Linked DNA regions of Saccharomyces cerevisiae S288C. The gene in region 3 interacts genetically with the main gene of each other region. Each region holds a gene or a part of one and is shown on either strand. Other genes may lie near its edges.

Region 1 (4,869 bases), on a different chromosome or scaffold from region 3:
TATACAGATCCTATATTCTTCATGTATGTAATAGATTCCCATACCTTCTTCGCATTTAAGACACTAATAGAAATGAAAGCTTTCTATTAGTCATTCTTCCTATGCACTAGACCACGCAAAGGTGAACCGGCTTGGTACGAGAATTCTATCACACGGTAATGATAGTGTTCCCGATGTCAAGCAGTCTTATACAGTACTACCCAAGAGCTTAAGAATAAGCAAGAAGATCTGGCAAGCTACAAGGTACTCATAACGATCTTCAAAGCGTAAGTTATGATCTTATGAAAATCAGACTTTTTTGTCTCAACAAACTCCTAGTTTGAAGATGTTACTGAAATGCCCTTCAAACACTTTTACTTGAAAATCATCGATTACTATTCTAACCTTCACAAATGAGCCTTTACACAACTTGATTAATAATAATATTTGACCTTACTCTAAATCGTCTCAAATATTACTGAGGCACAATCTCATGGTTATTGATAGAAAGAAGAATATAACATATATCTTATTTACATATGTTCGTCAATATTATAGGTAATACAATTTTTTCTCAGAGGGTTTCAAACTATTGAAAAATGGCAATGGTGGACTACAAGCAGCGAGAGCCCTTCTTGCATGATTATTCATATATTTCAATCCGAGCAAATAACTTGTGTTCACCCAACCAAAGCCTTCTGTAGCGACGCCCTTAAAATCAGCACCTTGATTACCATATTCCGCATCAACGCGATGCGGATCAGTCCCTCTTGTCACATCATATTTTTCTACCACCATTCCGTTATAATCAACAAATGATTTTGTAATCATGTACAGCCACCTATAAGCCAATCTTGTAGCTACTTGTTGATAACCATATGCAGATAAACCTTTCCAGGCTAATATTTGGTGCGGCGCCCAACCAAAAGGATAATCCCATTGCCTGATCGGTCTATCAATAGAAATAGGACCTCTTGATTTTTCTGTGCATGCAACTAGTCCGCCGAGCATTTCTAACTGAGGAAGAGCTTTTTCTACTGTGATTTTTGCTTGCTCTTCAGTTGCAAGACCAGCCCACAAACTCCAAAAAGTCGTTGCAGACTCATAAGACGTTCTGCATTTCAGTTTCGTGTTATAATAGAAGAAAAACCCTGAATCTTCGTCCCACATATACTTATTAATCCTTGTTTTCCTCAGTTCAGCTAGCTCCTCCCAGTGTTCAGAATCGGTTACCGTTCCATCATTCTCATCTTTATATTCATTACCAAAATACTCCTTAATGACGAAAGCAATATCTTTCTCATATTTATAGAGCAAGGAGTTTAGATCAATTGTCGCTAAATATGCACATACACCTTCAAACCTATAAGTCGTGTCATGTCCTGACTCTCTCACGGCACGATCATGTAAAAAAAATGCATCCAGTTTGGGTTCTTTAATCATGCCTTCGTTATAAAGGTACCTAAGCTTTTCCAGAGTAACATTGTACTTTTCAGCATACGGTAATAATATAGTATCAAAATGATCTGGTTCAGTTTCCGGAGGGATACCAATACCATCAGAATGATAACAAGACAGCCCTGTCAGAGAATCTAACCTAGGGCTCGACATCCACACCTCTTTATATTCTTTAATAGCAGCTCTGAACGCGCGTTTTAACAACTGAATAGCGTTTGGATTATTCTTACCTCCTATCTTTTCAAATACGAGCAGAGCCATATCGGTTAGGAATGGTGGCTGAGATCTGCAAAGATAATAACTCCTATTAGCATTCAAAATTTTACTATAGTGATCAATTTCGAATATAAAATGCTCCACCATACCTCTTGCAACATCAACCTTATTACTTTCTATGAGTCCCAGTGCCATTAAATATGAATCCCAGCCATACAATTCATTGAATCTACCGCCAGGTACCGCATAAGGATAACCAACTAGGGACCTTTCACCAGTAGATGGATTAACGTGTTCTTCCATAGCCAGGGCTAACAAACCCGGTGTATCATTTAATGATTTAACATACTCTGCTGTAATATCTTTTGGTAAGTACTCCACTTCAAGTTTTAAGGACGGGTTCATTTGAGATGCCTGAATGTAAAATTCGTACTGCTCTGGGCAGTTATATGGAACATAAATTCTTGGATTTTTAGCGCCTGGCGTATCTATTTTTGAGTCTCTAGCAATTTCTGCAATATTATAAAGATCAACTCTTCTCGTTAAACTCGTCCAAAATTGAGTCGTTATCAATCTTGATAATCTATCAACAGGGTTTTCATTTATACGCGCCTCATCCAAAAATATTTGGTGTCGTCCGAAACTTTTTGCAATGGTTAGTTCCTGCAACAAGTTAGAAAGCATATATGTTCCCCTAACATTTACATGTTTGAAACCGTTGGAATTGGCCGTCCCGACTTTAATAACTTTGGGCCCAGTGTCTTCTATGGTAATTTGGTGATTCTTGTCTGTGTCCTCACTAGCGAGCAGCTCATCTAAAGCGAGATCCACATTATCAATATAAAATCTACGGTTACCTTGGCTGCTGAGGAAGCTGTCGTCTTCAGAACCCCTCCTTTTCAGGGTATAATCCTTCATTCCGTTTTTGAAGTCAGAAACTTTATTGAAAACACTCATAGTTCTGGTTCTATTTAGTCTATGAATTTTTGACTGTTTTCTTGGATCTGTTATTGGTCCATAATAGACCTCTGCGTTGGAAAACGGGTCAAAATACTCATGCATAGAGGACAACCGCCGGTGATGTCTTCTACCACCTTGTTGCCCCTCTTCTTTCAACGGCCGCTGCTCTGAACCACTTGAAAGTGGCTTTATGTTATCTTCACCATCATTACCTTCGGATGGAGGATTTATTTCCGTTACTTTTGGTAAAAAATCTACCATTATTTGAGTATATGCAGGTCTCCTTATATACCAAATGTCTGATCCGAACCTGCGTCAAATATATTTGCAAAGGAAAAATATAAATAAATAAATAAAATTGAGAAATAAAGAATATTAGTTTTAATGGAAAACAGTTCCTACAAGCGCTATAACATATGAAATATACATTAGTCGAATATTAACTTTGGGAGGTAATTACAATTCCTATCCGCTTTATATAATTTAGTGGAACTGGCACGCCGCTCGGAAAAATTGGACTTCAAATTACCCCGCGCGGAGATTTGCATTATAAACTCTATAAAGATGCGTGAATTTCTACTCATTTATTACTAATTATTTGAATGTTCTTTTGCGAACTCATTTATCTTGCTCATTACTCTATAAATATCTATGCCATGTGGTAGGAAAAAAATGCAGACCTTTCTTAATTCAACTTTTTTTCTTTCAAATCGATGGGGTCCCCATTGGTTTCCTCGTCATAATCACCTTCCTCTAATCTGTACTCTTTGTTTAAAAAGGATTTGTGAAACGAAAATTTTAATAAAATCCATGCCATCCGTATAGGTCCAAACTCTGGCCATAAACAATCCAGCAATTCGATGCGTACGCCCTTACTCGATGCCTGCCATATCAAAAAGTCACTTAATCTGGAAACGCCACTTGTCCTAATCAATAAATCTAAAGGGGGTACCCCCGCCGTGTAGAGATGCGATTCTAACGTGCTTTCGTCTATAGCGGCGCCCTTCTTATGTTGAACAATTGTTTCTTTCATGGCATGCAAGATTTCTTCCCTGCCTGTATATGGAAAGCAGATATTTAACGTGGCCCTTTTGTTGTTCTTTGTAGTTTCCACAGCAACCCGAACATCTTCTAATAGAGACTTATCCAACAAAGAGAGATCGCCGATAATTTTAATGCGTACCCCATACTTACAGGCCAGCTCTCCACGTTCTGTGATTTGTCGTATCCTTTCGCGCGCTAAAGTCATCAGTGATTCAACTTCCCGTGAGCTCCTCTTGAAATTTTCAATTGAAAAGGCAAACACGGTAGCCGTATCGACTCCTGCTTCATAACACAGTTCTAAGATTCTACTCATACTAACAAATCCTGCCTCGTGGCCCTCCTTTACGTCCATCTCTTTCTTTCTAGCGAATCTCCTGTTCCCATCCATGATGAACCCAACATGTCTAGGTACACAGTTAGATGCACGCAATGTGCGCGAAAAGATGTTTTTTGTCCACTTTAACACAAATGAATGACCAGGTATACCACTATCCGTTTCCATACCGTCTTTTACCTGTGTTTACCCTATTTTTACTGCTTAAGTTCTATTGAAACCTGTCATTATTACGAAAATTTTTTTTTTTTTCATTCTAAGCATTTTGTTGGCATCTTCGGAAAAAGCCCGAGCGAGGGTAACAGGGTTAGGGGATTAGAAGATTAAAGTAAGACACATTATAATCTATAGAGATTTTCTACAACACAAGAAGTGTGCCATTCAGTCCGAATTGAGTACAGTGGGACGATGTTTCAAAGGTCTGGCGCTGCTCATCACATCAAATTGATTTCATCTCGAAGATGCCGCTTTAAATCCTCCTTTGCAGTTGCTTTAAACGCTGCCAGTAAGTTGGTAACTCCCAAGATTCTTTGGAATAATCCCATATCATTAGTCTCGAAGGAGATGAACACATTGGCCAAAAATATAGTTGCCCTCATCGGGTCTGGCCATCCGGTGCTAAACAAGGTTACTAGTTACTATTTTGAAACAGAAGGCAAAAAAGTACGTCCCTTGTTAGTGTTGTTGTTGTCAAGAGCACTTTCTGAAATTCCCATGACAGAAAGAAATCACTTGAAAATTGACAAGTCGGATGTTCCTGAGGACCCAATTTACTCTAAACCTAGTCAAAATCAACTATTTCAACGTCCTGCAAGTAGCATATCCCCACTACATATTCTTCACGGTATTAAACCACTAAATCCCTTGACAAAAGGTCC
Region 2 (5,119 bases), on a different chromosome or scaffold from region 3:
ATAGAGTACGTCAAAAACATTGTATTGCTGAATAAACTCTTTTGATTGTGTTATAATTGTAGAAGCGATAGTTTTTAAGCGGTCTTCTAAAAGTATATCGGCAAGTAACAAAACATCGACGGCATACATCCAAGGAATGTCTGTATTATCTGCATATAAGTAGCGGAGAATAATTTCGGCAACCTCAAACTCACAATTGGGTAATGTCAGCTGTGGAATGATACTATTATACTTTCCTGTAACGTGCTTGGCTTTGATATATGTAACTTTCTCCTTGAAGTTGTTTGTGAACATCACCTTGAAATATTCTGCGCGGCTCAAAACAGCCAGGTGACAAGGGTATATTCGAATGGCTCCATTTCGGTTTTTTACCATAAGTTGAACATCCGGATAAGCTGGACAGTTCATCAAGGAAAAAACTCGTCGTTCACTATTAGCAAGATCAACAGTAGATCTAAAGATACAATTGTTCACAAATATTAAAAGTTGACTTCTTGCAACCTCGGTAAACTTATATTGGTAATCTGACATTAACCTCGACTTTTCCGTAGGATCGGCGGTATGCCTTGCTTTGTCTAAAAATTCGGGCAATAACTCAATATCAAATTTACTAGATAGCTCTATAAGTTCTTCATATTGTCCCGGTTCAATTTGGTGCAGGATCGGAATTAAGTAAAGAAATTTCAAAAATATGTCAAATATATCTGGGCGCACTTCAAGAGAAACAATTTCATGCTTTGCCCACTCATTCACCATTTTTTCTGCTAGAATTTCGCTCCTTGCACATAATAAGAACTTATGCGCTGTGAACAGTTTTCCATTCGAAACTCTGAATGTGATATCTCTTTTAAGGAAGCCTTCGTCATTATACATCGATGAGATATGAGTAGCAAAGGGTTGCTTGACATCTACAGCCTTGGATATATCATAACTTAAAAGGGTATCTCTGATAGTATCGGTCAATGCTCCATAAATACATCGAGCTCCTTCATATCTGTCTCTATCACAGACGGCTCCTCTCTGTAGAAGAAGTTTCACGACTGCTTCATGCCCGCAAAGGCTAGCCAGAAAAAGTGGCGAATTGTCAAACTTGTCAACACTATTCACATTTACTCCCGTGGAAATCAATCTATCAACATTGTCCATATCACCAGTGCGGCATGAATAGCACAGTTCTTCAAAATTTTTGTCCATTAATTTATCTGCCATAAATATGCCAAAGGTCGTTTTCAAGTGGTAGTGTACAATTTATGACAAATCTTTCCTGTAGTTTTTTTTTTCTTGTATTTTTGTTTATTGTCAATATGACCATAGAGAATAGTAAGTAAATTGAGTGTCCACATCTACGTAGTCCACGTATTATTATTTTACTTAAAAGGGATGGGTGTTTTAGGAATTCAGAATAAGCGATACCGTTTCTAAATTCTCAATTTAGAAGGTTAGGCAGGAATTGAGTTTCAATATAACCTGTTAATGTCCCTTTTTTTTTATCTTCTATTCTTGACGTCGTTTTATCTCCTTCAGGGTTTCCTGTTTTCCTTCTTGTTTAGCATTGCCTAATTGCTAAACGAATCCCTTTGTTAAACATTTGTAAACCGGAAAGTTGGAACAAATATCTACACAAATCAAATAGCCTTTCTATTTCATTCTAGGATTAAGTCAGCAAATATTGATAAAGTTGTGTTAATCGTATGAATTCGAAGCACATTTCACTACAATGAGACTCTTCATCGGTAGAAGATCACGGTCGATTGTAATATCTTCCAACAACTACTGTTTATCCTTCCAGCGTTTGCGCAGCATACCAGGTGCCAGTTCTCAGCAGCGTCAATTAAGTAAAACTCCTAGCGTAACAATCAAGTCCTACCCTGACACAGATCTTTCAAGTGATAGTAACTATCTCGAAGTCAAAAGTTGCATATTTAATGGATTATTAGGGCTCGTTTGTCTTAATGGTGATATATATGTTGCCGTCATATCTGGTGTTCAGAATGTTGGGTTTCCTCGATGGAAACTGATAGATCATCAAGTTAGGCCTTCGGAGAGCATTTATAAAGTATTGGATGTTGACTTTTACAGCTTAGAAAATGATGTTTTCGACTACCTCCTCTGCGAGAGATCAGAGCAAAACTATGATAAATTGATTCATGAGCATCCTTGCGGCCCCCTGAAAAAACTGTTTAGTGATGGAACATTCTACTATTCTAGAGATTTCGACATCTCTAATATCGTGAAAAACCATGGTTTATCACATAACTTAGAATATACCGTAGATAATCAAGATTTATCATTTATTTGGAATGCTAACTTAGCAAGTGAGGTAATCAACTGGAGAAGCAAGATTTCAAATGAGGAGAAACAACTTTTTGCCAACGCAGGGTTCTTAACATTTGTAATTCGGGGTTATTGCAAGACAGCATTAATAGAAGACGGCCCAAATACAGCCTCTATAACCATTATTTCCAGAATTTCGACTGAGAGCAAGCAGGATACGCTAGAATTGGAGGGTATTAGTGAAGATGGGAGAGTGTCGCTATTTGTTGAGACAGAAATTGTAGTAACCACAGAAAAGTTTATTTTTTCTTATACTCAAGTGAACGGAAGCATTCCTCTTTTTTGGGAATCTGTAGAAAGTCAACTGTTGTATGGAAAAAAAATTAAGGTAACAAAAGATTCTATTGAAGCTCAGGGAGCTTTTGACAGGCATTTTGATAATTTAACCTCAAAGTATGGTGTTGTGAGTATCGTTAATATCATAAAACCTAAAAGCGAATCACAAGAAAAGTTAGCACTGACGTACAAGGATTGTGCTGAATCAAAGGGAATAAAAATAACAAATATAGAATACAGCTCAAGCGTTCTGACAAAGTCTCCCCACAAATTACTTTATTTATTAAAACAGGATATTTACGAGTTTGGAGCGTTTGCCTATGATATCTCTAGGGGCATCTACTTTGCAAAACAAACGGGGGTATTAAGAATAAGCGCATTTGATTCAATTGAAAAACCTAACACAGTTGAAAGGTTAGTGAGCAAGGAGGTACTTGAATTAACCACAAATGAAATTGATGTATTTGAATTGACTTCCCCATTCTTGGACGCACATGATAAGCTATGGTCAGAAAACTATTACTGGCTTGATCGAACGTATACTAAGCACACGAAGAATTCTGGTAAATATACAAAGGTTTATTCGAAGTTATTTGGTTCCCGAGTTAGATTATACGACCCGCTCCATATCTACATCTCTCAGTATTTAAAGCAATTAAGGTCAAAATATACGTTTGAGAAAGACATCTCAATTTTTGCAGGTACATTTAATATAAGTGGTAAAATTCCAAAAGATGATATAAAAGATTGGATATTTCCAAAATCAATGTCCAAGGAGGATGAAATGGCTGATCTTTATGTTATCGGATTAGAAGAAGTGGTAGAACTTACCCCAGGTCATATGCTTGCTACCGATCCATATGTCCGACAATTTTGGGAGAAGAAGATATTAACACTATTAAATGGGCCCGGACGCAAAAAAAAATATATCCGTTTATGGAGTACACAGTTGGGTGGTATTTTACTATTATTATTCATGAATGAAACGGAATATTCCAAGGTAAAGCATATTGAGGGGGATGTTAAAAAAACCGGGTTTGGAGGAATGGCTTCTAATAAAGGAGCTGTCGCGGTTAGTTTTAAATACTCAGCTACAAGATTTTGCGTACTAGTATCTCATTTAGCGGCAGGCTTAGAAAATGTTGAACAAAGGCATAATGATTATAAGACGATTGCGAAAAGCATACGATTTTCTAAAGGATTACGAATAAAGGATCACGATGCAATTATTTGGATGGGCGATTTCAATTACAGAATATTGATGTCAAACGAAGATGTTAGACGAAAAATTGTTTCTAAAGAATATGCCAGCCTATTTGAAAAGGATCAACTTAATCAACAAATGATCGCAGGTGAGTCTTTTCCATATTTCCATGAAATGGCGATTGATTTCCCACCTACCTATAAATTCGACCCAGGAACTAAAAACTACGACACGAGCGAAAAAATGAGAATACCAGCATGGACTGATAGGATTTTAAGTAGGGGAGAAGTACTAGAACAGTTAGAATATAAATGCTGTGAAGATATACTATTTTCCGATCATCGGCCCGTATATGCCATATTTAGGGCTAGAGTGACTGTAGTGGATGAACAAAAAAAGACTACTTTGGGTACGCAAATCTACGAGAAGATTATGGAAAGGCTAGAGGGATTGGATGATGATGAGAAAATTGCAGTTTTGAGTGATGATGCATTTGTTATCGAAAGTTTTGAGGGCAGTGATTCGATAGCTGGCCCTACGCATTCTCCGACACCAATTCCCGAGCCCAAAAGAGGTAGAAAGTTACCACCACCTAGTTCGGATTTAAAAAAATGGTGGATTGGAAGTGGGAAGCAAGTTAAAGTAGTTCTTGACGTAGACCCGGCCGTTTACATGATTAATCCTAAAAGAGATCCCAATCCATTCGTTGAGAACGAAGATGAGCCACTTTTTATAGAAAGGTAAGTAAATGATCATTAGTGAAAAGATTATATATAAATATATTTATTTAGCGTTCCTTCCCTATGCGGCTGTGAGCGTACTCTCTATTTTTGGCTGGAACTTTTTGCCAAATCATTGTTGTCCCTGTGTAGATCTTCTAACTGAACTAACAGAGAGTCCATTTTCTTTTCCATTTCATCCAACTTAAGTTCGACTTCCGAGATTTTCTCTTCTCCTCCTTTTAGTAGGTTCAAAACATCTAAAATATCCTTTGCGCCTGCAGTACTGACATCTTCGGGTGTATCACGAGTCATATTATTGACGACGAGTGAAGTGTTCTGCGATTTCTCTAGAGTAATTGATTCAGTTGCTCTTTCTCAAAATTGTGTGATTAAATATTATTTCTTTGTCAATATTTACCCGGCCTTTTAAATTTGTATCACCACTTGAAGAACATGCTGCAGTTGCCGGTTAGCTTCTAACCACCTTTCGATATAGGAATCGAAATAGGAATCGAAATTTATTTCTAGGCCCAAGGATCAAAATATAAGTGTATATAAACACACACACACACATATATATATA
Region 3 (3,491 bases):
GTGCTGCTCTATAGGTAAGCATTTTTTGTGAACCTCGATCTTTTTCGTCTGGTGGTGGTGGTGGTGGTGGCCCTTTTGGATGATCACCATGGGTGCCATTGCCGAACCTCCCATGCCTTCTTTCCAAAGATTTTCTCCCATAGGATGGTGACCTCAAGCCGAAAGAGTAGCTGAATTCGTGGTCCATAGCCAGCCATTCGAAGGTAGTTGGCACTTTTGATCCGGCATGGTACATTAAAGTTCCTTTGGGAATTACAGCGGGAAAATAAGATACTCCGACAGGATGTATATCCGATGGAGACTGTCTTAAAGCAGCTCGAATGGAATTAAAGATAGCCGTGCTGTTATCAAAATCAATGTCTCTGACAAACTCATGGTAATTATCCCATCGTATAGAAGGTGTGTCTGTGATTTTGGTTGCAGGTTGCTTGTGTGGTAGGGCAGTTGACACTATGCCATAAGATTCAGATAATTTCCAACAGAAACCAAGCAGCACAATGAGCAGTACGCCTACGGTGGCTGCGGTACCTTGACGGTGGAATCTCATTATTTATGTAAACAATTATAAATGGGCTCTTCGAGAACTGAGGCCATAGAATTTTTTTTTTTTATGAATTTTTTTTATCATCCTAATACTTTTTGTCTTTTAAGAGTGAAGAGCCGCAAGTTTCTTTTTTTTTTTATTTTGTTTTTAATTTTTTTCTTGGCATAGAATTTTTACACCCCGATCTTTTTTTTACATACGTAGTTCATTGCCGCTGATTACTGCATCGTCTCGCTTTGCCCGGAGAACGGTTGTTAACTTGTGTTTAATGTGGTGTAAAGACAATGTCAATGCAAGTGACATGAACACTGTAATACATCACATTGGTAAACAAAGCTTGAATCGTGAACCTTTCTCTAAAAATTTCGATAATATGCATAAAGGTTCTTGAAGCTCCCCTTGTTCAAGTGGTTTATTTTTCTATAGATATTTACACTCCGCAAGTGCAAAAAAAAAGCATTATCGCTAACGATCAAGAGGAACTGAGACCTTATTAGTTGTCTTTGTTGGCGTAACATAAATTTCTTAGGAAAAGAGAAAATTATCTCGAAGGCAAAAATAAACCAAGCCTCGAGTTTAATGGTTTTCTAAAAAACACTTTAAAAACAGATCGCCATAAAAGGAGAAGCTCCGTAGGAGACCGTTTTCGAAACCTATGTAGAAATAAAGGGAAAGCTCCAACGGTTTGGATAAATCTTTAGAAGCATAGAGTTTATACAACATTCAGTACGAAATGTACTCTCGAAACGTTCTCTTTTCACGGTGCTTAGTAGCAGAAAAAAGTGTCGGAAATTACCTATTTTGTCACCACTCGAGGATAGGCTTGAAAGAGAGTTTTAACCCCAACTTTTCTATTTTGCACTTGTTTGGCTATGGTTTAAAACATTCTGTTTGGACCAACAGCCCAAGCGGCTTATCCCTTTTCTTTTTTTCCCTTATAATCGGGAATTTCCTTACTAGGAAGGCACCGATACTAGAACTCCGAATGAAAAAGACATGCCAGTAATAAAACTATTTTGATGTTATGCGGAATATACTATTCTTGGATTATTCACTGTTAACTAAAAGTTGGAGAAATCACTCTGCACTGTCAATCATTGAAAAAAAGAACATATAAAAGGGCACAAAATTGAGTCTTTTTTAATGAGTTCTTGCTGAGGAAAGTTTAGTTAATATATCATTTACGTAAAATATGCATATTCTTGTATTGTGCTTTTTTTATTCATTTTAAGCAGGAACAATTTACAAGTATTGCAACGCTAATCAAATCAAAATAACAGCTGAAAATTAATATGTCGAAGGGAAAGGTTTTGCTGGTTCTTTACGAAGGTGGTAAGCATGCTGAAGAGCAGGAAAAGTTATTGGGGTGTATTGAAAATGAACTTGGTATCAGAAATTTCATTGAAGAACAGGGATACGAGTTGGTTACTACCATTGACAAGGACCCTGAGCCAACCTCAACGGTAGACAGGGAGTTGAAAGACGCTGAAATTGTCATTACTACGCCCTTTTTCCCCGCCTACATCTCGAGAAACAGGATTGCAGAAGCTCCTAACCTGAAGCTCTGTGTAACCGCTGGCGTCGGTTCAGACCATGTCGATTTAGAAGCTGCAAATGAACGGAAAATCACGGTCACCGAAGTTACTGGTTCTAACGTCGTTTCTGTCGCAGAGCACGTTATGGCCACAATTTTGGTTTTGATAAGAAACTATAATGGTGGTCATCAACAAGCAATTAATGGTGAGTGGGATATTGCCGGCGTGGCTAAAAATGAGTATGATCTGGAAGACAAAATAATTTCAACGGTAGGTGCCGGTAGAATTGGATATAGGGTTCTGGAAAGATTGGTCGCATTTAATCCGAAGAAGTTACTGTACTACGACTACCAGGAACTACCTGCGGAAGCAATCAATAGATTGAACGAGGCCAGCAAGCTTTTCAATGGCAGAGGTGATATTGTTCAGAGAGTAGAGAAATTGGAGGATATGGTTGCTCAGTCAGATGTTGTTACCATCAACTGTCCATTGCACAAGGACTCAAGGGGTTTATTCAATAAAAAGCTTATTTCCCACATGAAAGATGGTGCATACTTGGTGAATACCGCTAGAGGTGCTATTTGTGTCGCAGAAGATGTTGCCGAGGCAGTCAAGTCTGGTAAATTGGCTGGCTATGGTGGTGATGTCTGGGATAAGCAACCAGCACCAAAAGACCATCCCTGGAGGACTATGGACAATAAGGACCACGTGGGAAACGCAATGACTGTTCATATCAGTGGCACATCTCTGGATGCTCAAAAGAGGTACGCTCAGGGAGTAAAGAACATCCTAAATAGTTACTTTTCCAAAAAGTTTGATTACCGTCCACAGGATATTATTGTGCAGAATGGTTCTTATGCCACCAGAGCTTATGGACAGAAGAAATAAGAGTGATTATGAGTATTTGTGAGCAGAAGTTTTCCGGTCTCCTTTTGTTCTTGTTTTGGCGTATTCTCCACTATTCGTCCATAGCACATTTATACCTTAGCTAAATATTTTGTAAAGCAAAATTTTCGTTATCTCTTAAAAAATAGAAGAGCGGTTTATTAATATCAAATAATTGAAACTGCTGATATGGTAGCTATATACAAAATCTGCTGTCAAAATTTGGCAGTAAACGATCTTCACGGTAGCGGTTCAAATAAAGAGGAAAAGTCTTTCTCCCTTACTGTTTTTCTGGAATTTGGCTCGTCGTTAATAACAGAACTAAAGATACAGTAAAAGGAGAGATCGCAATCAACTTCATTAATTGTAACAGTAGCATAATCACAACTGATCATCTACACTATAAACAGTTTTTATTTCTAATTATGGGCGCCTGGCCGGCTCAAACATTGTGCTTTTAAGACTCCAAAAGTATCTGCTGCAGAAAAGAGCCATATAATGTTAAGTGTTCAGGGATAGGTTATCGC
Region 4 (3,902 bases), on a different chromosome or scaffold from region 3:
AGAAAAAAAAACGCCTTTTGCTCTTGAGAAGAGCGGCAAAAATTGCCGAACAGGTGGAATTTCTCGACCAAAGGTGGGGTAAATATCGGTTACCCGTTTGCGAGTTCCTTTACAGTCTCAATGATTTCCAAGATGACTAAGGGAATATTTTCCATGGTGCCTTTTGCCTCGCGTACACTCACGGCACTAATGGGCGATACGATACTATGATTGTGTTCGGGATTAGTTCGATTCAATCATTCGCGCACGAGGCATGGACAGAAATGGCACTGATTTTAGTCACCGAGTCAACAAAAATGAGGCGACTCGATCAAAGATGTTTATTGACTCGTTTTTGCAACTAGAGAAAGGCATTCTTGCACGGAGAGAATGTTGACTTTAGTTGGAGTACCATTAGAGAGATGCCATTAGAGAACATTGTACTGCAGTAACGATGAGTTTAAGTTTTTAAGTACGCATGTTTATATATGAAAAAAATATACATTGAGATTACGAATATATATACTTGTCAGGAAATGCCGGCAGTTCTAATGGTTAATCCTTGTCCTATTTCTTTACGCCATTTTCTTTGAATTGATCTTCTGTGACACCGGTTCCCATAGCAGCTGTTGCGCTAACACCACCTTGAGCTAACTTCAATAACCCATCGATGTACTCCGCACCAGACCATTTTTGATGTTTCAACACATCAACACCATCGTCCATTTCCCTCTGCTGAACATTCTGGGCATAAGCTTTCATCCCATCCTTGGCAAAGTCACGAGAGAAGTTATGGACAGCTAAAGCGTTAGTGTGTAAACCGGCCAATGTGATAAATTGCCAGATGTAACCTAGATCACCCAGCCTTTGGATGAAGGTGTGTTGTTCATCAACGGACATGGCTTTTGGCCAGTTAAAGGATGGAGACAAGTTGTAAGCTAGCCATTGGTCAGGGAATTTCTCTTTAACACCTTCTGCAAACTCCTTGGCCTGTTGGAAGTCTGGGTAGTTAGATTCCATCCATACCAAATCAGCATATGGAGCAAATGCACGGGCCCTCATGATAGAACATTGCGTCCCACCTCTGTAACGGTACAACCCTTCCCTTACGCGTGGTAGCTCCCAGTCGAAGAAAATTTCGTGGCCAAGAATTTCTTTAGCGAGCTTCTTGGCTTCTCTGTGGGATGTTTCAGTCAATGGACCCACTTTAGAGGTGAATTTCTTAATCAATTCTTGCTTATTTGACAGGGCTGATCTTTCAATTTCATCAATGACGGCTTCATGGAATAACTTGAGTCCAGCGTCTCTACACCATTTTTGTTCAATGTCAGCTAGTTCTTGTCCTGATGCACCACTCATGATGGCATCATTTAAAACTTCGGCAAATGGCTCGATATTTGGATTGGTGGCACCGACAATGAAATAATGATCTCTGGTATCGATGGTTGAGCTAATCAAAGTGGCTGCTTCTGAATCAGTCCTAGCAACGACAATTAAGTCAGAATGCATGATATCAGCACACATTCTAATAGTCACCAATCTGTTAACATGTTCCTGAACGGGTATAACACATCTTCCTGCCATATGCCCACATTTCTTATTTGTAGATGTCTGGTCTTCCATGTGGATCCCAGCAGCACCACGCTCAATGAACATCTTGGTCAATTTGAAGACTGCGGTTAAACCGCCGTGGCCTGCGTCTGCATCAGCGACAATTGGTGTTAGGTAGTCAATTGGGGCACCCATCTCATCGAGTTCTTCCTGAGATTTAGCCTTTGACCGTGCCTCTAGTTGTTTTCTGTCGTGAAACAATTGGGCCTTGAACAAATGTTCCACTTTGTTTGGAACGGTGTCCATTGGATAATCAGCTAAGTCTGGACCAGGTTCATTTGAGGTGGAAGCAGTTGATGAACACTGCCAACCAGAAATATAGATTGTGTCTAAGTATTTTGCCATTTGAGAAATCTGGACAGGATCTAGGGCACCGAAAGTTTTAGAGACTGTACCCTCATTGTGATGCTTCTCTAATACCTTGAATAATTTTCTGGCCATGACCGAAGATGGGTATTCGATTGGTGGGAATGTCCCGCGTCTAACAGCAATATCTCTGGCTGAATAATTTCTCTTAGTCTTACTCCAACGTGAGTCAGACCACCATTTCTCAATTTCGGCAGCATCTGCATCTAGTTTTGCTTGTAAAGCTGCAAAATCGTTCTTCGTATTTCCAACGGGGATAGGCATTTTTCGTTGACTTTTTGTTATGTTATGCTAAGAGTTTTCTCTCAATTGTTAGGTATTTGGGTGTGAAAAGAAAAAAAGGATAAGATGAAATTAGCAAGCCAAGACAAATAATAAGAATTTTGCCAGTGAAGCAGCTCCTTTATATAATAAAGAAACGTTTTGTGAATTCCGATGTGCCTGGTTAAGGGCGGACTTTGGACTGACTTATGCTTTTCTCTTTTGCACCAATATTGAGTCACATACTGGGATGCTAGTCCGGACTATGGATATTTTCTTCTGTAAAGGGTAGTGAAAGATGACGTTGAGTGTTAATTTTGTGGTGATTGGCTTCAGTTTTGATTGTTTCGGATGAAATGAAAAAGTGACGAAGTCAGATAAGTGATCGCTCGGATGAATGGAAACCTGGGGCAAAAGGGAACAGTTTTTCTCATCGGATGACGAGTAGCAAAACCCGACCGCCCAAAGCATCCGGGTTACGAGATATTTACTTTTCAATAAATAGATTCAATTATTATTATTTTCTCGAGACATATTACTGACACAAGAAATTTCCTATGGGAGCTTGATTTAGTTTTTCCTTCTAACATTGTCATTTTAACTGTGTTGCCTTCCCTTGCTCGCAACTATGCTACGCTATATTGTACTCTTGAATTTTATTTATGTTTTGTTCCCAGCGGGCATCTTTCAATAAAATGAACTCAAGAAGAAGTAAATAATAACAAGCTATAATGGGTGGCCATTTGTGATCAAATTTGGAGTGAAACACGTATGATTATGTTTGAACTCTCTTTCTTTGATACGAAACCTCAAGCGACGTAGGTGATGGATATATTCACAAGATAACAAAGGCCGTGTTACAACATTAGATATGTAAACAACGTGCTAGAAGTTCTCCTCGAAGATCTCGAAATCTACAAAAGGGAATCGATATTTTATACATAATCCTATTATTATTTTTTCTTCCATTTTATATGCTCACTCATTATCCTTTACATTTCCAAAATCATGCATTTCAGCTTCCATTAAATTTTGATGGCTGTCTCTTAATTTTGTTATCTTTCTTTATGTCATCCTCTTACAGAGTATATGGTAATATACTAGTAATATGATTAATAGTCGATAAGTGAGTGTGAATTTTTATTCCGAAAAATATATGACGATGATCACACTATATTTTCTAGAAATAACTTAAACCATAGTGAATAAGAATCTGTAGTGCTCCTTGAGAACTAATGAAATTGCGCTAAAAACAAACCTAGTTAACATAATGTTTAGGCCAGGAAGAATCTAAATACAAACCTTATCAGTCCCAGCGTACGCGTCATTTACATTTGCGTATTGAAAATGAAAAAAAAATAATTCATTTGAAGCACTACTATTACAAAATTTATTCCAGCCCAACATTCAGTTTGGAAGCATCAAACGGCCTTCGACCATATGAAGATATTCCAGTAAATATGGTCTCCAAGCAGTTCAACTACTTTTCATGAATGTAGCATTTTCAAGGCACCTCTAACAATAAAAAAAACGACACCAGCAGGATTTGAACCAGCGCGGGCAGAGCCCAACAGATTTCAAGTCTGTCGCCTTAACCACTCGGCCATAGTGCCTATCATTATGAATTTCCCAAAAAAGAACCACTATCAGAGACATATAAAAATAAGAACACATCCACCGATATC

What was found.
Region 1: mutations in FDH1 (region 3) and NTH2 together harm fitness more than expected from each alone (negative genetic interaction), as found in Saccharomyces cerevisiae (one large-scale study listed by BioGRID).
Region 2: mutations in FDH1 (region 3) and INP51 together harm fitness more than expected from each alone (negative genetic interaction), as found in Saccharomyces cerevisiae (one large-scale study listed by BioGRID).
Region 4: mutations in FDH1 (region 3) and ICL1 together harm fitness less than expected from each alone (positive genetic interaction), as found in Saccharomyces cerevisiae (one large-scale study listed by BioGRID).

The regions. Positions count from the first base shown.
Region 1 is NC_001134.8:238,410-243,278, forward strand, and holds NTH2 (alpha,alpha-trehalase NTH2), read right to left. Parts: upstream 2,875-4,869; coding exon 532-2,874; downstream 1-531. Other genes in the region: RER2 (ditrans,polycis-polyprenyl diphosphate synthase), read right to left, coding at 3,299-4,159; COQ1 (trans-hexaprenyltranstransferase), read left to right, coding at 4,400-4,869.
Region 2 is NC_001141.2:350,030-355,148, reverse strand, and holds INP51 (phosphoinositide 5-phosphatase INP51), read left to right. Parts: upstream 1-1,717; coding exon 1,718-4,558; downstream 4,559-5,119. Other genes in the region: YIL001W (uncharacterized protein), read right to left, coding at 1-1,209; CMI7 (Cmi7p), read right to left, coding at 4,639-4,848. UniProt on the Saccharomyces cerevisiae protein: Controls the cellular levels and subcellular distribution of phosphatidylinositol 4,5-bisphosphate (PtdIns(4,5)P2).
Region 3 is NC_001147.6:1,071,269-1,074,759, reverse strand, and holds FDH1 (formate dehydrogenase (NAD+)), read left to right. Parts: upstream 1-1,836; coding exon 1,837-2,967; downstream 2,968-3,491. Other genes in the region: YOR389W (uncharacterized protein), read right to left, coding at 1-547. UniProt on the Saccharomyces cerevisiae protein: Catalyzes the NAD(+)-dependent oxidation of formate to carbon dioxide. Formate oxidation is the final step in the methanol oxidation pathway in methylotrophic microorganisms.
Region 4 is NC_001137.3:284,695-288,596, forward strand, and holds ICL1 (isocitrate lyase 1), read right to left. Parts: upstream 2,221-3,902; coding exon 547-2,220; downstream 1-546. UniProt on the Saccharomyces cerevisiae protein: Catalyzes the formation of succinate and glyoxylate from isocitrate, a key step of the glyoxylate cycle, which operates as an anaplerotic route for replenishing the tricarboxylic acid cycle.